Linked DNA regions of Macaca mulatta. The protein of the gene in region 4 purifies or fractionates together with the protein of the main gene of each other region. This does not show direct contact. Links are inferred from orthologs where the notes say so. Each region holds a gene or a part of one and is shown on either strand. Other genes may lie near its edges. The genes, in order: C1QBP, HNRNPA0, PRDX1 and KRAS.

Region 1 (6,128 bases), on a different chromosome or scaffold from region 4:
TGGACGAGAAGGGCAATTAAAGGGTAAGCAGAAGATTGCCTAATTGCCATGTGTACAGCTTCAGCTCAGCATATAATTATGGACCCCAGTTATCCACTCACCTAACCGTCAGTGTCCTGTGGCTCAGAGCAGCAGTGAAGCTAAGTGGGAGGTGAGGTTTGGAAGGTGAGTGCTGTGTAGCAGTCTTGGAGATCATAGTTGTCAGTGCTGGCTCTGGGGCGGGCAGGGAGACCATTGTTGGGTAAGTAAGGGGTGAGGGAGGCGGGGTTCACAGAAAACACGAGAAACACAGCCAGGCGCTGTGGTTCACACCTGTAATCCCAGCACTTAGGAAGGCTGAGGTGGATGGATCACTTGAGGCTAGGAATTCAAGACCAGCCTGGACAACATGGTGAAACCTGGTCTCTACTAAAAATACAAAAATTAGCTGGGCCTGGTGGCTCGCACCTGTACTCCCAGCTACTCAGTGGGAGGCTGAAGTGGGAGGATGGCTTGAGCTCAGGAGGTGGAGGTTGCAGTGAGCTGAGATGGCGCCATTGCGCTCCAGCCTGGGTGACAGCGAGATTGAGCCTCAAAAAAACAAAAACAAAAAACAAGAAACAGGAAGGGGAAAGACAAAATTGTATTCTGTAGGTTCCGAGTTCAACATTTGGAAAAGTAGACATTTGGAATGCTCTAGTTCCACTAGACCTTTGGTTTTCGCTTAAGGGGGACTCAAGGACCATTGTGTTAGAATTCAGTGAAGTCAGGATGTAGGGAGGCTCAGCACAGATGACTGAGGATGTGTTGGAAAATAGGGATGGGTTACAGAAGATGGCACTATATTACAAGACTTAGGAATATTTTGGATGTGACGGTGCTCAGGTGGTGGTCATGGGATAGAATATGCTAAACCACCTATTAGCAGGGTTATAGTGTCTTTTAGAGAAAGCCAAATATATTACCTGTGAAAGTGGTAAGAAACAAGGGTAACCTATTTATGCCTACTGTTTTGTTAGTGGAACGCTAAGCCTGGGGGAGTTATTGATCCCCTACTGCTCAAGGTCATCGCCGAGGTCTGATTTTTCACACAAAAAAATTGCAACCTCTGGCATAAATGGCTCAAGGACAGATGATTCCTTAGCATAGTGGAGGGGCTGAGCCACCAAGGAGTCGGGAGCCAGTTTTACACTTAGGTGCTTACTGATCATATTACAGATCGAGGGGAAGACATGTTTTCTGCCCGTACTGATCATGCATGGTTGGTACCTCCCCTGTGATACGCACCTGCTTCAATCTTGTGTAGACTTGGAGTCTCATCTTCCTGCTAGGCTCTAAAAGCTCCAAGCTACCAAGAGTTTGAATACAATCATACAATCTTTGTGGTCAGTAGTTTCCTGAGGTGAGGATGTTTGATTAGTTCATCTGCAGATTTGATCTTAGCTTGAAGACTGTTGGTGCTGACGGTTTCCAGACAGCTGTTTGAAGGCTGCAGGACAGAGGTCCAGCAAAGCCAAAGAGGGGCAGTCGTCGGTGGCCTTCATGACAAATTACACGACCTAACTAATTCAAACTAGACTCAGGAGACCTCATCTAATGTGTAGCATTCTCATTGATTACAACTTTTAACGATGTATCACATGTCTTTCATGACTAGAATACAATTTAAGCTAATTCTTCTCCTGTTTAAACCTAGGCCTGTGATACCTGGGCTGTGATCCTCTAGAGCCAGCGTGGACTCACATCATTCTACGGGTTGAAGACCACTCACTCCCTGAGGAGCCTTGTACATACAAGCCTTTTATTTATAACTTATTTTGTATCGAAACTTTTAACCGATCCTGAAGGAAAAAAAACTTTTCCGACATCTCTGTTCTTGGTCTTTTGTGACGCAGGTTGAAGCGGGAGGAATAGAATAGATACACTGCTTTGGAGGAGATAAACCAATTTTATGTCTATCATGTTATACAAAAATCTAGAAATAATAGATTTGTACAGGAAAAATGATAATGAGAGCGCAAAACATATAATTTAAATTTGGTGTTTTTCCCCATGATATTAGGACGATAATCATTTCAAAGCACATGTCTAGCTTCAGAGTAGGACTTGTTCACTGGCCAGAGCCTGCCATGAAACTAAGGCTTTCAGCGTCTGTCTGCTCTACTGGCTCTTGACAAATCTCTTGAGGTCTTCAAGAAAACTAATGTACTCCTGGTGCTCCAGGGCTGTGCTGAGCTCCACCAACTCATCTGCAAAAGTGTTGTCCACCCCTCGGTCCGCAAGGAAATCCATTAGGTGGTCATATAAGGCCTGCAAAGAACAACATTTACTAGTTTAAAAACAAAAAAAAATCTGTAATGAACATTAAAATGTTTCTTTCTCCCCTTGAACTAGGACCCTTCCTTCCACGGCCCAAAAGGTTCCCCCATCTTATCAAGCACTCACCCAGTCCAAGGAATCTGTGTTGAGTGTGTAATTAGTATCCTTCCATTCAGACTCGCCACTGGACTGAAAGCTAACTTCCCTGATAGAGAAGATGTCACTCTCAGCCTCGTCTTCTTGTCCAACCTGAGAAGAAACAATATTTGGGGAAACTGAAGGGTTCTCCAGGATAAGCCAGACTCATGCGAAGAAAGGGGGCTGCTGACAGCATGAAACTGATCAGGTTTTAACCCTCTTCCCTCACTCCCCTCCCCTCTCCCCCTGCTGGGCTGGTCTAAGCTAGAAAGTCTTTAAATTTATGCTAAAAGGGACAGGAAGTTCCCAAGGGACACGCTGTGCTCCCCAGGGGTGCCAAGGGGCTAGCACTCCATCCTACATACCTCATCCTCTGGATAATGACAGTCCAGCACAAGGGCCTTCTTGCCATCATTCTTTATAACTTCAACCACGAAATTGGGAGTTGATGTCAGTTCAGGCTGGGAAAACAAGAAGTCAGTACATGCCACTGCTGGAAGGAGATGGATGCCTGGATCAAGGATCTCTGTTCAGATTTCTCAGAGCCACCATTAGGATGTTATGTAGCCATTTTAATAGTCTTATGCCATACTATTCCCAAATGAAGAGCTTGATCTCACTTCTGTTGGCACCCTGCTTGTTTAAGTAACACACTGGATTTTCAATTAAGAAATCTGGATACCAGCCGCCTCAGCTATGTGCCAATTAACTGAGTTTATATCAGTTCCTTAACATTCCAAGCCTTTTCCTCCACCCATACACTGCAAAGCTTTCCTAAAGTTTCAAGATTCCAGCTTGACTGTTCCAGGAGTCTTCAAAAGGGACCAGGGTCAAAGGCTGGGGAACCTGGCCATCTTTATGGCTGAATAACAGCAGCAGCTTTTCCTCTGATGTGGAGCTCTGGGAGCAGACTGGGTCCAATGTCAGAGAGATGCTAGTTGGGGTTGCTGGGAAAGAAGCACACCAGAGAGCTGTGCCATCCACACCAGGTCATGACCCAACACTGTACTGATGGCTTTTGGGCAGAAGGTCTAGGGACTCTGTGGCCCTCGTACTGGCTGGTTACCAGGCTGGGCACAGCACTTCCTAAAATGTCTGAAGAGTAGGCATGATCCAGTTAAAGTCTCTTATGCCCCTGGCATTCTTTTTTTTTTTTTTCTTCGAGGCAGAGTGTTGCTCTGTTGCCAGGCTGGAGTGCAGTGGTGTGATCTCGGCTCATCGCAACCTCCGCCTCCCGGGTTCAAGCAATTCTGCCTCAGCCTCCTGAGTAGCTGGGGCTATAGGCGCCTGCCACCACACCCAACTAAGTTTTGTATTTTTAGTAGAGATGGGGTTTCACCATGTTGGCCAGGATGGTCTCGATCTCTTGACCTTGTGATCTGCCCATCTCGGACTCCCAAAGTGCTGGGATTACAGGCTTGAGCCACCACACCTAGCCTGCCCCTGGCATTCTTATCTTGGTTAAATGGCTGTTGTGTATTACCAGCTTGTGACTGATATGTTAGGAACATTCCACACATGCAAACACACCAAATGATAACCTCCAATATAAAAAATCTCCCCATAGGCCGGGCGTGGTGGCTCACGCCCATAATCCCGGCACTTTGGGAGGCCAAGGTGGCTGGATCACTTGAGGTCAGGAGTTTGAGGCCAGCCTGGCAACCACGGTGAAACCCTGTCTCTACTAAAAATACAAATATTAACCAGGTGTGGTGGCACATGTCTGTAATCCCAGCTACTGGGGAGGCTGAGGTAGGGGAATCGCTTGAACGTGGGAGGTGGAAGCTGCAGTGGGCAGAGATCGTGCCACTGCACTCCAGCCTGGGCAATGGAGCGAGACCTTCTCTCAAAAACAACAAAACTCCCTATCATGGGAAAGGCTGAGAACATTTCATTTCCTTTCCAGCCAAACCACTAAGCCTGAGCTGGCAGACAGCAACGTATTTTGCCCCTGGGAAAAGGAAGAGGGCCACAGTCCTGTTAAAGCTGGCCAGAAACCACTGATTCCTCCTGCCTCAGCCTCCTGCATAGCTGGAACCACAGTCGTGCCACCATGCCCAGCTAATTTGTTTTTTTTTAAACTTTCGTAGAGGCAGGGTCTTGCCATGTTACTCAGGCTGGTCCTCCTGGCCTCAAGGGATCTTTCTACCTTGCCCTCCCAAAGTGCTGGGATTCAGGCGTGAGCCACGTGCCTGGCCTTAGAGGAAAAAAAAATTTTTTTTTTTTTAAAGAACAAAGAAAAACGCTCCTTCTTTAAGTCCCAGGGACAGCCTGTCAGAACTGAGGTAAAAGCTGATCATAGTGTTAAGCTTACCTCCTGTTCTTCAACCTTCTGCTTTTGCGTGGGTTCCTCCTCACCATCAAATGTTGGTGGGATGCTGTTGTTAATGTTGAAAGTGACAATGATTCTAAAAGGGCAAGAGAAAACATAACAGACAAGGCATCATTTTAACTGAGTAGGTTAACACACAAACAGGGAGGTCTGCTACAGTTACAAAGGTGTACTGAAACAATGTCTCTATCCTAGCTGGCTGAATTATATGCAGAACTTCAAACAAGGCTGGTACCTACATCCAGTCCTGAGTGATTCAGCAGGTCTCAAGTGTGCCTACCATGTACCAGCTGCTGGAAGCCAAAGCTGGCCTCAGCTTATCTCAGCCAAACAAGTCATGCATGGGTTACTCCCAACAGGGCCAGTACCCCAGGGCTCACTGCCATGTGTTGACTGGGCATCTCATGGCCACAGCCAGCTGACACTGCCCACCCTGGTCTTTCCAAGGAACCCTTGGTGAAAGTAAGGACCTGGGAGGCTGGTGAGATGGAACAGAAGCCCCTTTAAGAGCCTTTCCCCATAAGAAAATTTGCCCTGCAAGGAAAGGAAGAAGGAGCAATGGAGGGTTGCATCTGTTAAACACGGAGAGCAGCCCTGGCCTCGGGAAGGGGATGCCTCACAAAGAAAAAAACGGCTGTAGTAGACAGTCATCCTTCAGAGTACTTGTGGGAAGTTTTATCATCACAAAGCAGGCCAGAGACACCAACTAGCGACAATTTTAAGGTGCAAGAATCCACACCTGACAAATCATGTCCCAAAGTTTGAGTCAAAATTCCTGGGAGATAAAGTTTAGAACCAGAACTGCTGGACTATGCAACTCTGGCAGGCACCGTTCCATACAAGTTCCATGAAGTACCGCCCCCTCGACTTGTGCTAACTAGCTGCTTTGCCAGGAAGTCACCTTTCCATAGTAACAGAGGCAGTCTGAGGTTGACACAATCTGTCTGATTCCAACTGTGCTGACCAAGCTGAGCTCCTGGGCACAGAAATGGAATGATGTTCGTCAGAGCATTATTTTTAATGGCCCCCAAATAGCTATGAAAACCTTGTGCAAATGGTTTTTAGGTGAGATTACAGAAGACACAATTGACCTGTGTAGGGAAAAACCACACTACACAATAGCCAAGAGAATTGGTACCCTACTTCACATCATACTCAAAATGAATCACAGACCTCAACTAAGAGCTAAAACTAGAAAACTCTGAAAAAATTAAGGCATAAATCTTCACAACCTTGGGCGAGGCAGTGGTTTCTTAGATGTGACACTAAAAAAAGCACAAGCAACCAAAAAAATAGGTAAACTGAACTTCCTCAAAATCAGAAACTTTTGTGTCAGAGGGCATTACAAAGAAAGTGAAAA
Region 2 (7,481 bases), on a different chromosome or scaffold from region 4:
ACTGTGAATCGTCACTCTGATTTGATAGTTCACTGTGAACCTTAACCATTTGCAAGCTTTTTTTTTTTTTTTTTTTTTTGGATACAGTAAATCAGTACCAATGAGAGCTTTTTAAATGACCTGAAACACTACAGGTAAGTATTCCAATCAAAAACTCCAAAATGCTCCAAAATCTGAAATTTTTTGAGTGCAGACATGACATTGAAAAGAAATGCTCATTGGAGCATTTTGGATTTTACATTTTTGTATGAGAGCTGCTCAGCTGGTAAATATAATGCAAATATTCAAAAATTGAAAAAAATCCAAACTTAAAACACTTCTGGGCCCAAGAATTTCAGATAAGGGATACTCAACCTGTATCATCTTTAACTGCCTTTCAAACCACTTTCAACTAAAGACTACTGCATTTAGACTTTTAAAAGAATGTAAATGCAAAAATTCTTCACATTAAGATGAAAAATAGGATTAAAAATAGGAGGTTCACTTTTATTTTGCTAATCCGTCAAAATACATTCAAGCATAGCACGAAAATTATATTCAACACTAGGTTCTGTACCACCTGCTCCCATGAACTCTTAAATCTGAATAATGTTCAGATAATTCTCATAGGTGGAAGGGGTCAAAACATACAACCAGTTGTCCGTCCTCCCCAAGTCCCACATGCCAAAATGCTTTTGCATATAAAGTGACAAGAGGAACCCAGAAGTGACTAAATACCACTATGCTTTTTTCTTCACTACAGTTTATAGCAATTTTAAGGGTAGACACATGACAATGAAGTGTTAATATACCATGAACAGGATAGGCTGCCTTCCTAATAAACAGAAAATCCTATTACATAATTCAATTGCAAACTTTAGAAGCCACTATATTCCCATGTTGGGAATATAAAATGACAATAACCTTATTAAACTGAAAACCCTGAGAAAGGTGAACTACTATTCCAATTGACCCAGGTCTTCCCACCAAAACTGAGTAAGTCAAGCAGAGTAGTATTTAACAATTGCAACGAAAAATCTCAGAATCATTTTCTGTATCCTAGAGGCCACTCTACAGCCAACAAAAAGTTGGACCAAATTACCAAATGAAGTAGCCCACATGTAATTTGTATATCACTAGAATTAAAAAAAAGACAGAAATGTATGGAAACTGTAGATTTGAGAGCAAAGGATTTGACTATGTGTTAATCACATCAATGTGCAAAAACATTCACCCCATTTGTCAGAGGATATAACACTATTTGTACCAAGCATCCGCTACCCTTTGTCAAAGTGACTACTGAGCAGCCATAACTTAGCCTAATAATCTTAACCTTTCTTCATACTTCTTTAAAAGTCCTGTCAATCAGAAAAAAAAAAAAAATCTGGCAAGAACTAGACCTTTAGGAATTGAACAGTGACAAAAAGTTAAAAAATGGTTCAATATTAAAATATTATTTTATTTTAAAGCCCAATAATCTTTCAGAAAGTTTCTTAGTATAGCTTTGAGCCTTCAACATCAATATTTAAGTCAAATATTTAAGTTAAATATTATCATAACATCAAGTTAAGCACACTAGATTAAAAGGTACTCTGAACCCACCCACCAGGTTATACATACTCTCACTCAATCATGTAAAGAATTGAATTCTTTATTTGTGATATCCATAAACGTTGCTATTCTATATTTCTATTCAGAAAGGCAATTTTCTCCTATTATCAGTTTTTTCTTCTCTTATAAACAACAACTTGAATGCTATTGCATGAAAGGGCTACAAATATACATTTGTTAACCAAGCAGAATACACAGATATTTTGCTTTACAACTTGCACCTAAAATACCAGTATACGTAGCTGGTTCATTAGTTGTCATAGCAATTTAGGGCTATTGCCCAAGCTATGCATAGCAGTTTACATTTTCAAACCTCATATAGAAAGGGCAATTGTGATATGAACTGGCAACTACATTCCTGTGAAGCCCATCTCAGTTACAAGCAAACGTGTAACTTCCAAGTCTGCAAAGAATTCTGATGGCAAAACTTCTATATCTGATGCAATTGTCCTAAGCAAGTTTTTAAACAAATTGTTTCGCAGCTACTCTGCCATTCTGCCAGTAGGTGGTGCTACAAAGATCGGGAAAAGGATTTCCATGAGGACAACAGTTCAGATATAGAGGGGGAAAAAAACCGTTTAAACCTGCTCTGAAAGTACAAAAACGCATCTGAGGGTAAAATATAACCCTCATTTTTAACCATTCATTACAGATAAACCAGTAAGAGGGATGAAACTAGGCCATCTGAAAAATTTTAAACAGTTTATATGAATGACATGCTTAACACAAACTATATAGAACTACACAGTACACAGTTTGAAGTAAATTGTCATAGAAATGACCAACCATGTCAAGATGGTAAGCAAATCGCTTAGTACAAGAGATGGATGCACAGAAACTTAAGAGTTTAAAAAGCCACATCCACCACTTCAAAAGTTTTGCCTGTAGGGGATATAATTCAACACGCAACTAGCAGGGCAACGGGGGGCGGGGGGGGGGACCACAGGACCTCTTAAGTTTCTCTAAGTACACATCAAGAATAAAGAATTAACACGTAAAGTCTTAAACAAATATCCCTTAAAAACGGTACGGAATGGATCCTAGAAAAGAAATGTTAGACATGTACGGTCAAACACAATGATTTATTAAAAATAAAACGTAAAAATGATTTTTGTACATATGCTTCCAAATTTCAGGCATGGGATCCAAGTAGATTTCATAGAAAACGCTGTAGCCAGGTTATCAAGTCCTTACAACAAAGTAAACTACCCCCCACCCCAACCCCCGCCCAGGTTTTGCTACAGAATCAGCAAGTTCACTCCCTCCCTCCCCCCAAAAAACACAAATTAAAACAAGACATTTTGCTAGTATAAAAACGACCAAGGTCCAAGTAATAATAAAAAAATAGAGTCCATCAATGACTGTAACACAAAAATGTGTATGTGGGGCCGAGTCCATCTTCAGAGGGAGAGACAAGAGAGGTGGCAGGCAAATAGAGGAACACCCCCAAGGGTAAGCAGCCTTAGAAGTGGCTCCCCCAAGGGCAAAACAGGGAAGGCGGTGGTGTGGGTGTGAGGGGGTGGGGCTTAGGAGTTGACCCCACTTGGGTTTTTGAAAAGAGCTACCCCAATAGCCACTCCCAGGCATTTTAAATTTTCTTTTAGAAGGAGCTCCCTCCATAGCCACCCCCACCTCCATAGCCGCCTCTGTAAGGTCCACTATTACTGCGACCGCCCCAGCTGCTGCCTCCGCCGCCGCCGCCGCTCTTCATGGGCCCGTAAGAGGACTGATGCTGACTGTAGCTGCCGAAGCCGCCGAAGCCGTTACCGTAGTCGCTCCCACCGTAGGACGAACCGCCGCCGCCGCCTCCGTAAGCATTGTAGCCGCCGCCACCGCCGCCGCCGTAACCACCGTAGCTGTTGTAACCGCCGCCGCCGCCCTTGGAAAGGCCGTTCTGGTCTCGACCACCGCCGCGCCCCCGGCCGCCTCGGCCGCCCCGGGAGGATCGGGAGCCGCCTCCACCCCCACCGGAGTAGATATCCTCCTTGGGGACTGCCTTCTTCACCTCCACGCGATGGCCCTGAATCGGATGGAACTTGACCACCGCGGCCTTGTCTGCCGCGTCGTGATTCTGAAAATACACGAAGCCGAATCCACGCTTCTTGCCGGACTGCTTGTCGGCAATAATCTCGGCCTTTTCCACGGTGCCAAACTGCGAGAAGTGCTCGATCAGGTCGCCCTCAGCCACGTCTCCCTTAAGGCCGCCGACAAAGAGCTTCTTAACCTTGGCGTGGGCACCGGGCCGCGCCGAATCCTCCCGGGACACCGCCCGCTTCAGCTCCACAGTGTTGCCGTCCACGGCATGGGGCGAGGCGGCCATGGCGGCGTCGGCCTCCTCCACATTGGAGTAGGTCACGAAGCCAAAGCAACGGGAGCGCTTGGTCTGGGGATTCACCACCACCACGCAGTCCGTCAGAGTCCCAAAGGCCTCAAAGTGGCCGCGCAGGCCCGACTCACTCGTCTGCACATTGAGGCCGCCGATGAACAGCTTACACAACTGGGAATTCTCCATCTCCAAGGCTCGGGCCTTGCCCCCGCCCTGCGAGCTCCGAGGTTTCGCCGTCGCCGCCGTTATCGTTGGTTAAGGCCTCTACACAGCTTGGGCCCAGCCGCTGCTGGAGCCACCCCCGCCGGTCACCGACAGGGAAGGGAAAAAGGGAAGGGGAGGGAAGGAAGGAAGAAAGGAAGGGGGAGGGAAGGGGAGCGGTGCCGGCGAAAGGGCGAGCCGAGGAGACTGGAAGACAACCAAGGCCACCGCTACCGCCGCCGCCACCTCCGCTCCCCTATCTGGGCACCACACAAAGAGGCCGCTGAACGCGCGCGCACCCTCCCCGAGGCGTGCGTCACCGCCGACGTACGGCAGCCTAGGGCTGCCCTCCAATCCCCGCCTCGCTCCCCTTAATCCCGCCTACCGCGCCGCAGCGCCGCTCTAGATCACGGACTCCCCGCCCTCCGCGGTCTATTCAAGCCCGCGGCCTGTGCCGCTCCCGCCTCCCCTTCTGCCAACCCGCTTTCATTCCCGAGCGCCCTATTGTCCCTTGACATGGGTCCCTCCCTGCCCTCCGCGCACCGCCGCGATTCATTTCCTCCTAGCACTGCGGCTGTTCCCAGTGTTTCTCCCCCTCCCCTTTCCTCATCTCCGCGCCCAACTCCGCAGTGGCGTTCGCGCCAGCCCCTTGAGAGACATGTCAGTTCAGCCAATCACCGTGATCCCCTCGCACCCACTTCCGTTTTCGGCAGCTGTTGGACGGGCGCGCTCCCCGGTGCGCGCTTGCCCCGGCGCCCCCAGCGTGCAGAACCTGTCTGCCACCCCCTCGCCTTCTGCAGCCCAGGGCTTTGCAGGGGAGAGAGCAGGAGGCGCGCTGGGGGCCATTCCCAGCGGATGCGGCCTGGGGCGCCATGCGCGGGCTTTTTGAAAACTTGACGTTGGGGTTGGGGGCCCGGATCTACCCGCCGCCTTTCCGCTTGTCCGCTACACCTGGCGTCCCCGCCCCACCTCCCGCCCGCACAAAGATGGAGGGCAGAGGCCTGGTCCACGAAGGCGGTTATTAACCGTTTACGGTGGGCCGACATGCGGTTAAACTAAAACTCTGCCACGTGGCCCTGCGCAAAAGCGAGCCCGAGGCGGCGGTGTGAAAGACAACGGAACCAAAGAGCTTCAGACATTACGAACCAGACGAGGCGCGACATCCCTGCCACCATCCCGCCATCCTTGAAGCCCTCCCACGACGCCCTCTCAGAAGGAGGCCCTTTCAGGTCCCCTTGGCATACTCCAAAATTTTCATTTAACCTCAGTGAATGGGTTTTTATGTGTAATTTACATCATCCATGTGTTGCTTTCTTTCAACTAGAATGTTAGTTTTTTGTTTTTGTTTTTGTTTTTTTTTGAGATGAGTTTCACTTTTGTTGCCGAGGCTGGAGTGCAGTGGGGCAATCTCGGCTCAGCAGCCTCCGCCTCCTGGGTTCAAGCTGTTCTCCTGCCTCAGTCTCCTGAGTAGCTGAGATTACAGGCGCCCACCACCATGCCCGGCTGATTTTTGTATTTTAGTAGAGATGGGGTTTCACCATGTTGGTCAGGCTGGTCTGGAACTCCTGACTTCAGGTGATCCATCTGCCTCGGCCTCCCAAAGTGCTGGGTTACAGGCGTTAGCCACCGCGCCTGGCCTAGAATGTTAGCTTTGCTTGTTTTTTGTGTTTTGTTTTGCTTTTTGTTTTTTTGAGACGGAGTCTCGCCCAAGCTGGAGTGCTACGGCACGATCTTGGTTTACTGCAACCTCTGCCTCCCAGGTTCAAGCGATTCTCCTGCCTCAGCCTCCCGAGTAGCTGGGACTACAGGCACGCACCACCACGCCTGACTAATGTGTGTATTTTTTAGTAGAGACAGGGTGAACATGTTGGCCGGACTGGTCTCAAACTCGTGACCTAGTGATCCTCCCGCCTCGGCCTCCTAAAAGTAGAATGTTAGCTTTTTAAAGGTGTTGGTTAGACGAACGTTTTACAGAGAGAAAGAGAGATCATATAGCCCTAAGTCACTGCTTTTAGTGCCCTCACTCAGATGGGAATGGAAGAAAATTACAACGGCTTCCATTTATTGAGCCTTTGTGTGCCCAGCAAGATACATGGGGTGGGACATAGTTAATATGAGGCATTACGTGACCAAAAGCCTCCAAAACTATATGGTAAATACTGAAGAAGTTAAGAGGAATTCCTCACCGTATCCTCAAGTATTCAGGAAAGATTTAGGAAAGAATTGGAAGTTGCACTGAACCTCAGAGCCAAAGACTAGTTAGTATCCTAAACAAATTAAGGCTGGAACAGAAAACCAAATACCACAAGTTCTCACTTATAAGTGGGAGCTACACATTGAGTACATATGGACACAAAAGAAGGGAACATTAGGTCTTTTTTAAGGATGGCGGGTGGGAGGAGGGTGAGGACTGAAAAACTACCTATGAGGTATTATGCTGGTGACTTGGGTGACAAAATTATCTATACACCAAACCCCCAAGACAATTTACCCACATAACAAACCTCCACACGTATCCCTTGAACCTAAAATTAAAAATTGGAAAGGAAAAAAAAAAGATTTCTATATGGAGTTTACTTGAGCAAAATCCAGAGGGAACATAAGCTTCAAGAGACAGGGAGTGGACCAGTTAGTTTGAGAGGAGCAGGCAGTTTTAGATAGAAAACAGTAAGAGGTAAGACAGGTTGAGGGTCTTTGATACTATGAAATGATACTATGGAATGTGTTGAATCTTAGGTTAAGTAGTTAGGGGGATATTGTAACAAAGGTAAATAGATGGACTAAAGTTTGAGGGTAAACTCGTCTGGTCTATCACTTACCCTGTAACCGTCCAGTTATGTGACTTTGGGCAAGTTACTTAACCTTTTTAAAAATGTAATCAGTTTTATTATCTTAAAATGGGAATAGTAAAACATCTTTCTGTTGTAGTGAAAATTAAAGAGATTCTACATGTATACATGCCTGGCACATAGTAAGTGCTCAGTTTGTCCAATTATATGAATCCTATGCCTGGTGGTGGCAATATGGCTGTAAACAACAGACAAAAACCTGTGCCCTCATGATGCTTACATTCTAGTGGGAAGAAGCAGACAATAAACAAGAGTGGTATATGGCATGTTAGATAGTGATACATTGGAAAAAAAACGAAAGAGGACAGGAGAAAGCTATTAACCATGTTATTACAAAAAAAAAAAAATTCAAATGTCAGGATTTGCCTATTGATAATAAAGAAAAGGGAAAATGGGCTGGGCACAGTGGCTCATGCCTGTAATCCCAGCACTGTGGGGGGCTGAGGCAGGCAGATCACTTGAGGTCAGGAGTTCAAGACCAGCATGGCCAACAAATTGAAACCCCATGGGTGGTG
Region 3 (7,786 bases), on a different chromosome or scaffold from region 4:
GAGTTGTTCCATCTGTAATATCAACTCTCCTCTGGGGTCAAAACAGGCAAGGGAAAGTGCCTAGCCCTCAGCTTAATATTAACAACTGTAATATATATGTGACCCAAATGAACAAGCAGTGTCACAGCTCCAAAGAGTTGAGTGAGTTCTGAGACTTTAAATGTAGAATGTCTCTTATAACAAGAGATAGCCGGGCGCGGTGGCTCAAGCCTGTAATCCCAGCACTTTGGGAGGCCGAGGCGGGCGGATCACGAGGTCAGGAGATCGAGACCATCCTGACTAACACGGTGAAACCCCGTCTCTACTAAAAAATACAAAAAAACTAGCCGGGCGAGGTGGCAGGTGCCTGTAGTCCCCGCTACTCGGGAGGCTGAGGCAGGAGAATGGCGTAAACCTGGGAGGCAGAGCTTGCAGTGAGCTGAGATCCGGCCACTGCACTCCAGCCTGGGCGACAGAGCGAGACTCCGTCTCAAAAACAAAACAAAACAAAACAAGAGATAATGTGAATTTCTCCAATAATAAAATAGAGGAGGGCCAGATGCAGTAGCTCACACCTGTTATCCCAGCACTTTGAAAGGCTGGGGCAGGTAGAGGGCTTGAGCCCAGGAGTTGGAGATGGTGCCCATCTCTACAAAAAACACAAAAATTAGCCGGGCATGGTGGCATGCCCCTACAGTCCCAGCTACTTGGGAGGCTGAGGTGGGAGGATCGCCTGAGTCCAGAGAGGTAGAGGCTGCAGTGAGCCATGACTGCACCACTGCACTCCAGCCTGGGTGACAGAATGAGACCCTGTCTCAAAAATAAAAATAAATAAAGAAAATAGAGGAGGAATACTAAAAAGATAATTGAGCTAGTATGTCCAGACATAATGAAGCATGTGGTTTCTCCAGAAGTGGTTTGGTCCTAGGATATATACCCTGTAATCACTTGATAATCACTACTTCAACATGAAGGTAACAACCTAAATACTTCTTTCTAGGAGACAAAACGTTTTACAGTCAAACATAACACTGACACAAATCTAACAAGCCATCCCTAGAATATAAAATAACCCCATCTCAATGAGCCCAGTGTAAATTCTCTTACCTTTGTAGTCAGACAGGCTGATATCTTTAAACTGACCATCTGGCATAACGGCTGTGGCTTTGAAGTTGGGGGCAGGGTGCCCAATTTTAGCATTTCCTGAAGACATCTTCCTATTAGCTAGAAATAACAGAAATTAATTAGAAACAAGCCTTAATTTTCTAGATAACCAGCAGCCTTCACCTACTTAAGAGACTTAGCTGTAGAACAATCAAGGCATTGTCCAGTGTCCCTGAATACATTAAATGTTATTTTAGTAAGAAGCTCAGGCCAGCAGTCAAGGGTCACAATCAGAGCTTTTGAAACAAAACAAGTCTCTGAATCTCAGCCTTTGTTTTCATTTAAAAACGACAAGGCAATTTCTTTATATACTAAGAAAACCTCTCACTCTTTCTGAACCATAATTAGTGCAGTGGCATCTTATTCATTAGACAGAAGCAGAGAGGGAGGCAGGTGAAGACTCTCAAACCAGAATCCGAATGCACAATGCCACAAACACTTTTGTTTGGCTCATAGTCATGTTGACCTTTCCCATTACTGTGCCTCCACCTGCCTTAATAACGTCAGAAGCATATTTGACTTTTCTCCAGGTAGCTTTGTCAAAGACAGCACACGGTCGACCTATAACTAACACAACTTGTTTTATTTTATTTTTTTTGGACGGAGTTTCGCTCTTGGGGCCCAGGCTGGAGTGCAATGGCGCTATCTCGGCTCACCGCAACCTCCACCTCTAGGGTTCAAGTGATTCTCCTGCCTCAGCCTCCGGAGTATCTGGGATTACAGGCGCTAGCCACTACACCCGGCTAATTTTTTTGTAGTTTTATTAGAGAAAGGGTTTCTCCATGTTGGTCAGGCTGGTCTCGAACTCCTCACCTCAGGTGATCGCCCAACTCAGCCTCCCAAAATGCTGGGATTACAGGTGTGAGCCACCGCACCCTTCCAGCCAGTCCAACTTTTAAGAGGCAAGACCACTGGGCGCGGTGGCTCACACCTGTAATCCCAGCACTTCCGAAGGCCGAGGCAGGCGGATCACAAGGTCAGGAGTTCAAGACCAGTCTGGCCAACATGGTGAAACCCTGTCTCTACTAAAAATACAAAAATTAGCCGAGAGTGGTGGTGCATGCCTGTAATCGCAACTACTCAGGAGGCTGCTGAAGCAGGTGAATCGCTTGAACCCGGGAGGCAGAGGTTGCAGTAAGGCAAGATCACACCACTGCACTGCAGCCTGGGCGACAGAGTGAGACTTTTCACTCTGGGCCATACAGTGAAGAAAAAAAAAAGCCGGTGGGGGGGGGGGGCGCGGGAAGACCAAGATATTGGCGTCTGCTTAATTTCAAATCTTTAGGTATTGTGTAAGCCCTAGAAGTCCCTTCACAAATGGGTTCCTGACTTCTGGGCTAATATCCCAGGGCGAAAAGAAGTAGAACAAGAATCAATTTACTTCTGAAAAGGAAGGTTGCGCAGGATTCACCCAGATCAACACCAAGATAAGCATCGAGATCTTGGCCTGTAATGCCAGCACTTTGGTAGCTGAGACAGGCAGATCACCTCAAGTCAGGAGTTCGAGAATAGCCCGGCCAACATAGTTAAACCCCGTCTCTAACAAAAATACAAAAAGTTAGCCGGGTGTGGTGGCACGCGCCCGTAGTCCCAGCTACTCCGGAGGCTGAGGCAGGAGAATCACTTGAAACCGGGAGATGGAGGCTGCAGTGAGCCGAGATCCCGCCACTGCACTCCAGCCTAGGAGACAGAGCAAGACTCCGTCTCAAAAAAAAAAAAAAAAAAAGTTCGCGACAGGCCTGGCCAACATGGTGAAACCCCGTCTCTACTACAACTACAAAAAAAAAAAAAAAATTAGCCGGGCGTGGTGACCGGCGTCTGCAGTTCCAGCTACTCAGGAGCTGATGCAGGAGAATGGCTGAACCCGCGAGGCGGAGCTTGCAGTGAGCCGAGATCGCACCACTGCACTCCAGCCTGGGCGACAAAGCGAGACTCCATCTCAAAAAAAAAGAAAAGAAAAACAGCAAAAATTTGCCGGGGCTTGGTGGCACACGCCTGTAATTCCAGCTACTCGCGAGACTGAGGGAGGAGAATTGCTTGAGTTCGGCAGACAGAGGTTGTCCCAGTAAGCCGAGACCGCACCACTGCTACTCCAGCCTGGCCGACAGAGCGAGACTCTCTCAAAAAAAAAAACAGAGTTTTAACCCACTGAGCCGCAGTCTAAAAGTTTTTCCAAGTCCTAAAGTTCTTTAAAAACTGTTTTTTAAAAAGTCCTTAACACCTTTAACGACAAAAAACAAAAACCAGAAACTAATGCATGCTGCAACTTGGTGTCCCCAAATGGCCTTCTCGTCCCATCCTACTTTCCCAGGTGGCTCCCAAGTACCAAACCCAACCAATTCGGGGTAAAGGCTGCTTCAGGCCGGCGCCGGGCCCCTTCAGGGGATCTGCCCAGTGCCGAGGGCCACACCCCTGAACCCCACTTCAGGTACCCCTGTCCCTCCCCAGCACTGTGTAAAGTACCAGCAGAAAGAGTGCTTCAGCGGGGACATTTGGGCTCATCACTAACTCCATTCCACGTACAGGAAAATAAAGACGGGGAAAGGGTACCCGAAGCTCCGCAGCTAGTCAAGGCTCAGGACCCGGAACAGCATTTACCCTATCACAAGATGGACAAAAATACAGGCTGTCTTCTACAGCCACGAGTCCGGATACAGGTCCATTCCAGAAGCTTCCCGAACCCACCCCGCCCGACAGGAGGCTAGTCTTGGAGACCCCACCACCAGCCCGCCCAGACGCCGCGCCACGTGCTCAAGTTGCCGGGGAACGACTCGACTCGAGTCCACGCTAGCCTTGGGGTCCCACGTCCCCGCACCTACGTGGGGGGCCCATGAGAGGGGTGCGCGTAGCGCTCAGGCAGTCTCGGGCTCCGGGTCTCCCCCGGCCGCCTCACGCATCACAGTACCCCCACCCAAGGGCGGGCGAGCCCCGGACAGGAGAAGGAAGAGGCAACAGACAAGAAAGGCGCGCCGCGCCTCACTCCGCAGAGGCCGCGCTGCCCACACTCACCAGTCCTAACACAACTCACAGATCAACACCACGGAAGAACAAAACAGGCAAGAACAAAACGCGCAAAATCCGCCCGGGGCGCTGCCTTTATAGCCAGTAGGGCTCTCGCGAGAGTCGGAGCGGACCAGGGGTTCTGGAAGAGAAGAAAGAGGAGGGGGATGTGGCCCGAGCCCCGCCCGGCGCGCCCCACCGGAATGACTCGGCGCTTTTCCTCGTGGGGGCGGGCGCGGAAATACTAATACCTCTCCCTGCTGCGGATGGCTGAGGCTGGAGTGAGGCGCTCTTGTGGCCGCTCCCAAACCCAAACGCTTAGGTTAATCCAAGGTCTCTGCGAAAAACCAGGATTCCCTTTACTTCCAGGACCACTACGCACTGTGCCCTTAATGCCCAAACCGGAGTAAGCGTCCTAGCTGCTGCCCACGGATGACCACGTCTAACCACACCAAGCCATGAGAACTGTCTGTCCGAATATTTCTTAAGTTAAGCAGCCTTAACCCCAGCGCAGATCCTCAGTAACCCTCATGGGTTAGATAGCTTCCTTCATTGTTCTCTTTGATTACAGGGTTGCTGCTTTCTGTTGTAAAGCAAAATAAAATATCAGGACTCCTAAACTTATGCCAAAGGGAAAGTTCAGTTTAGGACGCTGATTCAGCTACACGACCATCCTTTCCCCGGATGAATAACTTGACTTTACAATCTTGAGTCAAAATATTACACATTAGCCAGACCTACACAGTAAGGCAAAAGGCCTCAGACACTTCCTGATGACTACCCCCCACAAACACACATACACAAAATCACAATTATTTGCTACCCTGGAAACCTTTAAAGTATGTAGCCTCCCATAAAACAAGGACGTGTCAATTGTAACTAGATCTGCAATCTAAAGTCTAGTTCCTAAAACGAAAGTTTGTTGTATTCCACATTTTTTTTGAGACGAGTCTCACTCACCCTGTCGCCCAGGCTGTAGTGCAGTGGCACGGTGTAGGCTTACTGCAACCTCCACCTCCCGGGCTCAAGCGATTCTCCCGCCTAGCCTCCGGAGTATCTGGGACTACAGGCACGCACCACCATGCCCAGCTAATTTTTTATATTTTTAGTAGAGACGGGGTTTCATCCTGTTGGCTAGGCTGGCCTCCAACGCCTGACCTCAGGTGATTCACCCACCTTGTCCTCCCAAAGTGCTACGAATATAGGCGCGAGCCACCTCACCTGGCCTCTATTCCACAAATTCCATAAATGTTGACTACTATATTACCTTTCTACTAGACTACTTTCTACCTTTCTAGTAGTACCTTACTACTAGATTACCCTGAGTCCATCACACAATTGTTTTCTTCCGCTATTCCCATTTTCCTCAAACATTCACCTTATCTTGTGTAAAAATGTAGATTTAGGCCGCCGAGGAGGGGGCGGATCATAAGGTCAGGAGTTTGATACCATCCTGGTCAACATGGTAAAACCCCGTCTCTACTAAAATACAGAAAATTAGCTGGGCGCGGTGGCGCGCCTGTAGTCCCAGCTACTCGGGAGGCTGAGGCAGGGGAATCGCTTGAACCTGGAGGCAGAGGTTGCAGTGAGCCGAGATCACCACTGCACTCCAGCCTGGCAACAGAGCAAGACTCCGTCTCAAAAAACAAAATGTAGATTTACTGAGCATTAGCTAAAGTCTTCGCCTCACTTTCCCACCCCCACTTTTCAAAGAAAATGTATAAATGCTAAAAACCTCCTGAGAACCTCTTGGGAAGAAGCAGCCACAGAAGTGTCTGTGACATGGTTTAGTCTGTTTAGTCACTCATTTCGATTAACACTATCTCTTATCCATCCTTTCCACTGCAGCCGAAGGAAATTTTTCTGAAATCTGATCATGTCACTCTTATTTGTGGTTTAAAAGCTGGGGCTAAAGAAAGAAATAATAAAATAAAATTTAAAAAGAAAATAAAAATAAAAATAAATAAATAAAAGCTGAGGCTCTGTAGTCAATTTACTGAGTTAAAACTTCTCAGCCGGGCACGGTGGCTCAAGCCTGTAATCCCAGCACTTTGGGAGGCTGAGACGGGCGGATCACAAGGTCAGGAGATCGAGACCATCCTGGCTAACACGGTGAAACCCCGTCTCTACTAAAAAATACAAAAAACTAGCCGGGCGAGGTGGCGGGCGCCTGTGGTCCCAGCTACACCGGAGGCTGAGGCAGGAGAATGGCGTAAACCCGGGAGGCGGAGCTTGCAGTGAGCTGAGATCCGGCCACTGCACTCCAGCCTGGGCGACAGAGCCAGACTCAGTCTCAAAAAAAAAAAAAAAAAAAAAAACAAAAAACTTCTCACTATCAGGGCCGGGCGCAGTGGCTCATGCCTGTAATCCCAGCACTTTGGGAGGCTGAAGCAGGTGGATTACCTGAGGTCAGGAGTTCGAGACCAGCCTGACCAATGTGGAGCAACCCCGTTTCTACTAAAAATACAAAATTAGCCGAGTGTGGTGGCACATGCCTGTAATCCCAGCTACTCGGGAAGCTTAGGCAGGAGAATTGCTTGAACCGGGGAGGCAGAGGTTGCAGTGAGCTGAGATAGCGCCATTGCACTCCAGCCTGGACAACAAGAGTGAAACTCCGGTCGGGCGCGGTGGCTCAAGCCTGTAATCCCAGCACTTTGGGAGGCCGAGACGGGCGGATCACGAGGTCAGGAGATCGAGACCATCCTGGATAACACGGTGAAACCCCGTCTCTAATAAAAAATACAAAAAAAAAACTAGCCGGGCGAGGTGGCGGGTGCCTGTAGTCCCAGCTACTCGGGAGGCTGAGGCAGGAGAATGGCGTGAACCTGGGAGGCGGAGCTTGCAGTGAGCCGAGATCTGGCCATTGCACTCCAGCCTGGGTGACACAGCAAGACTCCGTCTCAAAAAAAAAAAAAAAAAAAAAAAAAGAGTGAAACTCCGTCTCAAAAAAAAAAAAAAAAAACTCGCTGTAATTTTAGGTGTGAACTTGGGCAAGTCTTCAACCCATTAAACCTTACTTTTCTCAACTGTAAAATGGGAATACTATTAATACTTTATTGTGATTATCTATGTAGTTCAGTACAGTACTTGGTTCTTTTTTTTTTTTTTTTTTTTTTTTTTTGAGACAGAGTCTTACTCTGTCACCCAGGCTGGAGTGAAGTGGCGTGATCTTGGTTCACCGCAGTCTCCGCCTCCCAGGTTCAAGCAGTTTTCCTGCCTCAGCCTCCCAAGTAGCTGGGATTACAGGTGCCTGCCACCACGCCTGGCTAATGTTTATATTTTTAGTAGAGACGAGGTTTCACCATGTTGGCCAAGCTGGTCTCAAACTCCTGACCTCAGGTGATCCACCCGCCTCAGCCTCCTAAAGTGCTGGGATTACAGGCGTGAGCCACTGCGCCCAGCCAGTGTTTAGTTCTTATTATAAATTAGAAATATTAGCTGCTATTACTATAATTCTTCTATCCTTCACCCTTATAACACCCAGAACACAGTGTAGCTGTTTCAAGACTTCAGACTCTTTTTTTTTTTTAAGACAGAGTTTCGCTTTTCTTGCCCAGGCTGGAGTGCAATGGCACGACTTCGGCTCACTGCAACCTTCACCTCCAGCGTTCAAGCAATTCTCCTGCCTCTGCCTCCCAACTAG
Region 4 (7,354 bases):
ACAATTAGAGCCTGGGAAAAAATATATCTTGCTATATTTATTCTCACTAGCATATTATATACAGTAGATACTTAATATATACTTGGTAAGTGATCAACTAATCATTCTGATCTCTGTAACTACCTACATTTTTTTAAAATGAGACTCTTCCTGTTCCACCCAATTTTACCTTAGAAAAAAAATTTCAGGGTTTTCATAGTAAGACAGCCTCAAATACAAACGTACTCCATCTATGTGTCATGCCTGAATGATTTTACATCATATCTCTGCCACTAAGTTGCCATTAGATAGTAGGCTAAGTTCAAATTTTGATATATTGACAAATCTGAATTAGTCTCCATAAGTAAATATTTTCTTAACTTGAAAAACAGCTGATTCTCAGTTTTAAAAAGTTACACAAGAGTATAGTGGAAATTTAACTTAGTCTCAGAGAATTTAAATTCAAATCCCACCACTCATTAGCTACGTATCCTTAGGTGAGTTACCACCTCTCAGATACATTATTGAAAGAAACAATAGGCCGGGCGCGGTGGCTCACGCCTGTAATCCCAACACTTTGGGAGGATGAGACGGGCGGATCACGAGGTCAGGAGATCGAGACCACCCTGGCTAACATGGTGAAACCCCGTCTCTACTAAAAATACAAAAATTAGCCGGGCGCAGTGGCGGGCGCCTGTAGTCCCAGCTACATGGGAGGCTGAGGCAGGAGAATGGCGTGAACCTGGGAGGCGGAGCTTGCAGTGAGTGGAGATCGCACCACTGCACTCCAGCCTGGGCGATAGAGCGAGCCTCCGTCTCAAAAAAAAAAAAAAAACAAAAAGAAACAATAGCCACCCTCCTCACTACCTCTTAGTGTAAATTTTGCAAAACCTAAGTCACCAAAAAATATAGTATTATTTGATTTAAATTTTTAAAAAATGTATTTCCATCTTAAATGTAGAAAAACTGCTAATAATTCCAAAATGTGCAGTCATATCCTTTCTAATTTTCTCTCTGACCCACACTGATTGGTGAATACCAATCAAAACCTACAATGGCAGTGAAATCCCCATATCCTCCTAAATTTTTAATTTTTTACAATAACATGGAGTCAGCATTTCCATTCGGCCAACTATTAAACTACTAAGTTCTCTTGCCTCTCCTACAGTTTACACCAAGAATTTAATGTAATACGTCAGTTCCCTCAGAGACTCACTGTAACTTGGGAGATAACAGATAATCTCAGATACCTTTTCCCAGGTGACTAAACTACGTCAGGGACCGTCAGTTTCAAAGTTCACAGGTAATCAATGCTTCCCACAGTCAAGTCTTCTGGTTTGGCAGAAATCATAATCAGAGTTATAGGTTTAAGTTTATAAACTTTTTCAACCTTCCCCACAAATAAAGTCTTAACTGTTAGCTTTGTTTCTTCAAGATTTATATTGCATTTTAACAATCGTTAGCAAAAGGTGTCCTAACCCACTTTATCATATTCATGACGTCATGCTATATATACACTCATATAGCATTCATGACCTCTGATTGGAAACAAAGTGTAATGGAATTTCTCAGATTTTCAGGAAAGACAGAGAGCATTTCCAGTAAAACTACCTTCCAAAATCCCAGGAAAACTTTCATGCATAAAGTGAATTCTATTAAAACTTCCTTTTACATCTGATTTAAATAGTAGAGTCTGCCAAGTAACCCTGAATTTGCAATACAGATTGAAATGGGTGTACTATTCAAACCTCCTCAAAGAAACAAACAAAACTGTAGTATACATTGAATTAACTTGTCAAAAGTAAATATACAGAGACTACTGCATAGGCAGTCTACTTCAATTAGACTGTTCCCCTTTACTGTTGTAAATTCTCAGAATTGGAAGCCAAATAAAGTTGTTTCTATGTTTAAATCAAATCTTTGCAAATAGGCATTATTTCTTCACTTTTTTATAGTACCAAAAATAAGTGACATTTCCCTATGATTAGTTATCTAATCAATTCTCCAGGTTCTAAACTGCATACACATCTTCCCAAGGCCACCAATGCCCTCAGAACTTGCCCCAGTGCAAAGTGTTTCTTCAAGACATTACACAGTACAGTACCTTAATAGGGCACTTTGACCTGTTCTAGATTTCACAGCTTGGGACTTCAAGAAAGTTCTCAGAAATTTTTCAGAGCCAATTTTTTTAAACTAGTACATCAGATGTAGAATAAATGCTAAAGGATTAGGACTGCTTAATCAAGGGTAAAGAAGCCTCAGAAATAATCTTACAATATAGGGCTATTTCAAAGACAAGGTGATATGCTTATTTTCCATCTCCACTGATGTTAAATTTAACATGAAGATTCAAATTACGTGTGAAATATGCTAATAAGTATGTTCTGAAAATGGGTTAACAAGGACAGTTGGGGAATGTCCCCTCCTGCAGGTCTCTGAGATTAAATAAATCCTCATCTGCTTGGGATGGAAGGGAATTCTACTACCTGACCTCTCAAGGTCTCTTACAGGTCTTTACTTATTCTGCTGCTGGCCTTTACTTTGGTTACTTTTCATTAAACTAAAAAAAGCTGAAAATAATCCTCAAAACATAATAATTTAAATTTAGTCAAGGAATTTTTTTTTTAATTCTAGCATTTCCTTGAGTAAATTTAAAAATGACAACAAAGCAAACGTAAAGTTGGTAATAGCATCTTTATATAAATCACACCTTAGGCAAAGAATTCATTTTTTAAAATTTATCAGGTAGTCGTAGGTTCTCTAATGTTGAGAAGAAGATAGGAAAATACTGCTAATGAAGTTTAAAAAACTCAACCATCAAACAATTACATTTCACTAGTACAATTAAATCTAACCTTTACATATGATGTCATAATACCAAGAAACCCATAAAAATAAAAGTTACATTAAAAAGATTGCCTTTCAGGTACAGATAGGATACAAATTTCTACCCTCTCACAAAACGCTGAAATATACTTCCAAGCAAAATGCACAGAGAGTGAACATCATGGACCCTGACATACTCCCAAGGAAAGGAAAGCTCTCATATTAATGGTTACATATAACTTGAAACCCAAGGTACATTTCAGAAAACTTAAAGTAACTTTCAGTATAATTATCTTGTAATAAGTACTCATGAAAATGGTCAGAGAAACGTTTATTTGTACCAAAGAATGGTCCTGCACCAGTAATACGCATAATATTAAAACAAGATTTACCTCTATTGTTGGATCATATTCGTCCACAAAATGATTCTGAATTAGCTGTATCGTCAAGGCACTCTTGCCTACGCCACCAGCTCCAACTACCACAAGTTTATATTCAGTCATTTTTCAGCAGGCCTTATAATAAAAATAAGGAAAATGTGACTAAATTAGAACATGTCACACATGAGGTTAATACACTATCAAATACTCCATCAGTACCTTTTAATACAAACTCACCTTTATATGAAAAGTTATTTCAAAATACCTTACAAAATTCAATCATGAAAATTCCAGTTGACTACAGATGTGTATTGTAATGAACTGTACTTCATTTACAAACTCCTCCATCAACGTTTAAGAAAAATACCTAACTGCTGCATAGATAGTTCTTTTATCTTTAAATTCAAGTTGTTGTATCTAAACAGCCACACTGCTGTTCTGCAGCGGCTAAAGGCTCTCAAAGGATCATGACTTCACTCATGCAAGTGTCTAGAACAGTCCTCTACACCCTGTAGACACGCCCTCACAAAAGTTGCTGACAGCTATCTCCACTCCTATTGTTAGTTCTCCAAGTGAACCCCCACCTCTAAGAGTTAGAAGTCACTATGCAACAGCTACAGAAAAACTTTTAAAGCATCATGGCAGTAACTCTCTTGGATAAGTATTAACAGTAAGAATCAGATGAGGGTTGGGAGAATGAGTATCAAAGTTGGATTGTGTCATGGGGAAATAAAAATTTAAACACTAAGGCAGAAGAACAATATTTGATGACATTTTAATGTGTGAAATATCTCTGGGGAAAATAGAAGTCGGAGGTTGCAGTGAGCTGAGATCGCACCACTGCACTCCATTCTGGTGACAGAGCAAGACTCCGTCTCAAAAAAAAAAAAAAAAAAAAAATCTCTGGGGAAAATAAAGGTAAAAACTAAGAGAACTCCAAATTAACTATTCAGTCCAGGTGATGTGATCATCAATCACAATACATAATCCTGTATCACTGCTGCACACAAAAAGATAAAGATTAGAAAGCCAGGTGCAGTGGCTCATGCCTGTAATCCCAGCACTTTCGGAGGCCACGGCGGGTGGATCACCTGAGGCCAGGAGTTCAACACCAGCCTGGCCAATATGGTGAAACCCCATCTCTACCAAAAATACAAAAATTAGTCAGGCGTGGTGGCGCTCTCCTGTAGTCCCAGCTACTCAGGAGGCTGAGGAAGGAGAATCGCTTGAACCCGGGAGGCGGAGGTTGCAGTTAGCTGAGATGGAGCCACTGCACTCCAGACTGGGTGACAGAGTAAGACTCTGCCTCAAAACAAACAAACAAAAAGATTAGAGATAAACACTGTTTTTAGTAAAACAGTTGTTAAGAGATGCAAGTGAATATGTCTCAGTAATCCACATGACTGTTACTCTTTGCTTTTCCTACACTGTCTCCCCACAGGTGCATGAATACTGACAACTTGTATAACAAGCACCACACAGAAAATAAAATATAGTTTCTAGTCAGTTGTTTCAAATTTTTTGAAAAAATATGAATGTTTAATTTCATCTCCTTTCCCTCATGTAACACATAATTACAAATAAGGAGAGAAATGCAGGAAAAAACGGGAGTAAATGCACAATTATTTATTATGGATGAGTAGCTCCATATAATGAATGTGCATGTATTGTAGATAAACACTAAATAGGCCGGGCGTGGCGGCTCACGCCTGTAATCCCAGTACTTTGGGAGGCCGAGGTGGGTGGATCACAAAGTCAGGAGATCAAGACCATCCTGGCTAACACAGTGAAATGCCGTCTCTACTAAAAACACAAAAAAATCAGCCAGGCGTGGTGGCGGGCACCTGTAGTCTCAGCTACTCGGGAGGTTGAGGCAGGAGAACGGTGTGAACTCAGGAGGCAGAGCTTGCAGTGAGCCAAGATCATGCCACTGCACTCCAGCCTGGGCGACACAGCAAGACTCCGTCTCAAAAAAAGAAAAAAGAAAAAAAACCACTAAATATACACCGTATCCTATTTACTGAAAACCAAAAATAATAATTTGGTTTTCCAAATGATAACATACTAACCTTACTCCTAAGCCCTGCCTCAAAAAGCACCACAGGCTAGAAAAATTGTGTCACACACAGTCACAGTACAGTTCCCCGCCTTACTCTGTTCTACCTAGACTTACTGGCTGCTTGTCTAGGGTCAGTTAACAACCACTACAAACATATATCTTATCCTATTTGCCTCCATGCTTTATTTCAAATGTAGGCCAAAGCAATTAGGAATGGATGAGGAGAATTACACTAAAATGTATCCTCTAGCTCTCTGCCTATCCCAACCTCCCCCCAACCAGTTTGCATAGCCTAAAACAGTTCTCAAAAGGTGGTCTAGGAACCCCTCAGGTTACTAAGACTTTTCTGGTATGCAAGAGGTGAAAACTGTTTTCATAGTAACATTAAGATGTCCTTTACCCTTTTCACTCCCATTCATTCACAAGTTTTCCAGATGTGTGATCATAATAGATTGAATGCAGATGCAGATATAAGAATCCATGTCTTCTATTAAGCCACATCATTAAAGAGATTTACCAAAGTGTGAAACGACACCACTCTTCTAAGTTTTGGTTTTGTTTTGGAAAATAGTTATTTTTCATAAAATATTTTATTCATGTTACTAAGTAATGGGCTTATTATTTCTATTTTTAAATGAATTAATACATTTTAAAAAAATTGTTTTAATTTCCAATATGATAAATATTAATAAACCCCACACAAATCAAAGGTTTTTTTAATTCTCAATTTTTTTTTCTTTATAACAAGGTCTCACTACGTTGAGCACGCTGGTCTCCAACTCCTGGCCTCAAGCGATCCTCTTGCCTCAGGGATTACAAGCAAGAGCCAATTTGCCCGGCCCCTTCAATAATAATTTCTAAGAGTGTAGGCCCGGTATGGCGGCTCACGCCTGTAATCCCAACACTTTGGCAGGTTTAGGCGGGCGGATCACCTGAGGTCAGGAGGCCGAGACCAGCCTGGCCAACATGGTGAAATCCCGTATCTAAAAACACAAAAATTAGCCCGGTGACGGGAGCCTGTAATCCCGGCTACACGGGAGGCTGAGGCGGGAGAATCGCTTGAGCCTGGGAGTCGGAGGTGGTAGTGAGCCGAGATAGCGCCACTGCATTCTGGCCTGGGTGACAGAGTGAGACTCACTCTCTCAAAAAAAAGAAAGAGCGTAGACGGGTCCTTAAGGCCAAAAAGTTTACCAGCCTAGTAAATACTGTGGACAGACACTGGATTAGAGTTTGTGTATATGTACGAATTCACAGCCACATATATCTTCTGGTTTACTTGTTTATGCGGTGGTTGTTTCCAGAAAAAAAAAAAAAATTCTTTGAATGAGATTTTTAAAACCAAGTCACATTTAAATCCACTAGAGAGAACTGGGCTCCAAAGTAGTCTTATCAAATGAAGATCATGGGCTGGGAGGAGCTCCCTTACTCACAGTTAGAAAAGCTAATAAGGAGTGGACTGGACTCAAATCCAACAATTTTGTTATGGAAGAAAATTCATTTTTATTTGTCATAAAACGGAATTACCATCCACCATCTCTTAAAAGCAAGTACACTGTGTATGGCTACAGTCTCAAAGTAAACTAATGTTAGCAACCATATTTGGTATCTGTAGTCTATCACATGTAGGAGTCAGCATTTTGGACCTTAGTCACTTCAGTGACACCAGTTATATGGTTAATTCTGAGCTGATAATTACAAATAGACCTTTCCCCTTTATCACTTAGTTTTTAAATGCTATTATAAACATAACGTATATTTTGTATAACAATTAGAAAACCTTTCTGTTTTGATAGAACTCAAGATTTAAGAAGGCTTAGACTTCAGCTAGAAGATGCATAAGGCACTTTGGGAGGCCGAGGTGGGCGGATCACGAGGTCAGGAGTTCGAGACCAGCCTGGACAATATGGTGACACCCCTGTCTCTATGAAAAATACAAAAAATTAGCCGGGCATGGTGGCAGACACCTATAAACCCAGTTATTCGGGAGGCTGAAGCAGGAGGATTGCTTGAACCCAGGAGGCGAAGGTGGCAGTGAGCCGAGACGGCGCCACTGCACTCCAGCCTGGGCAACAGAGCAGATGGAGACCATCCTGGCCAACATGGTGAAACC

The links.
Region 1: the proteins of KRAS (region 4) and C1QBP purify together in Homo sapiens (affinity purification with mass spectrometry; 3 studies listed by BioGRID and IntAct, with this or other methods). This does not show direct contact. The link is inferred for Macaca mulatta from reciprocal best matches to the Homo sapiens genes KRAS and C1QBP.
Region 2: the proteins of KRAS (region 4) and HNRNPA0 purify together in Homo sapiens (affinity purification with mass spectrometry; 3 studies listed by BioGRID and IntAct, with this or other methods). This does not show direct contact. The link is inferred for Macaca mulatta from reciprocal best matches to the Homo sapiens genes KRAS and HNRNPA0.
Region 3: the proteins of KRAS (region 4) and PRDX1 purify together in Homo sapiens (affinity purification with mass spectrometry; 3 studies listed by BioGRID and IntAct, with this or other methods). This does not show direct contact. The link is inferred for Macaca mulatta from reciprocal best matches to the Homo sapiens genes KRAS and PRDX1.

Annotation. Positions count from the first base shown.
Region 1 is NC_133421.1:6,933,465-6,939,592, forward strand, and holds the end of C1QBP (complement component 1 Q subcomponent-binding protein, mitochondrial), read right to left. Parts: intron 4,845-6,128; coding exon 4,751-4,844; intron 4,387-4,750; exon of another isoform or gene 4,275-4,386; intron 3,636-4,274; exon of another isoform or gene 3,492-3,635; intron 2,898-3,491; coding exon 2,802-2,897; intron 2,548-2,801; coding exon 2,425-2,547; intron 2,290-2,424; coding exon 2,140-2,289; 3' UTR 1,908-2,139; downstream 1-1,907.
Region 2 is NC_133411.1:146,601,405-146,608,885, forward strand, and holds HNRNPA0 (heterogeneous nuclear ribonucleoprotein A0), read right to left. Parts: upstream 4,272-7,481; 5' UTR 4,103-4,271; coding exon 3,191-4,102; 3' UTR 2,520-3,190; downstream 1-2,519. UniProt on the Homo sapiens protein: mRNA-binding component of ribonucleosomes. Specifically binds AU-rich element (ARE)-containing mRNAs. Involved in post-transcriptional regulation of cytokines mRNAs.
Region 3 is NC_133406.1:195,088,723-195,096,508, reverse strand, and holds the start of PRDX1 (peroxiredoxin-1), read right to left. Parts: upstream 4,220-7,786; 5' UTR 4,153-4,219; intron 1,204-4,152; 5' UTR 1,193-1,203; coding exon 1,087-1,192; intron 1-1,086. UniProt on the Homo sapiens protein: Thiol-specific peroxidase that catalyzes the reduction of hydrogen peroxide and organic hydroperoxides to water and alcohols, respectively.
Region 4 is NC_133416.1:27,584,612-27,591,965, forward strand, and holds part of KRAS (GTPase KRas), read right to left. Parts: intron 3,321-7,354; 5' UTR 3,309-3,320; coding exon 3,198-3,308; intron 1-3,197. UniProt on the Homo sapiens protein: Ras proteins bind GDP/GTP and possess intrinsic GTPase activity. Plays an important role in the regulation of cell proliferation.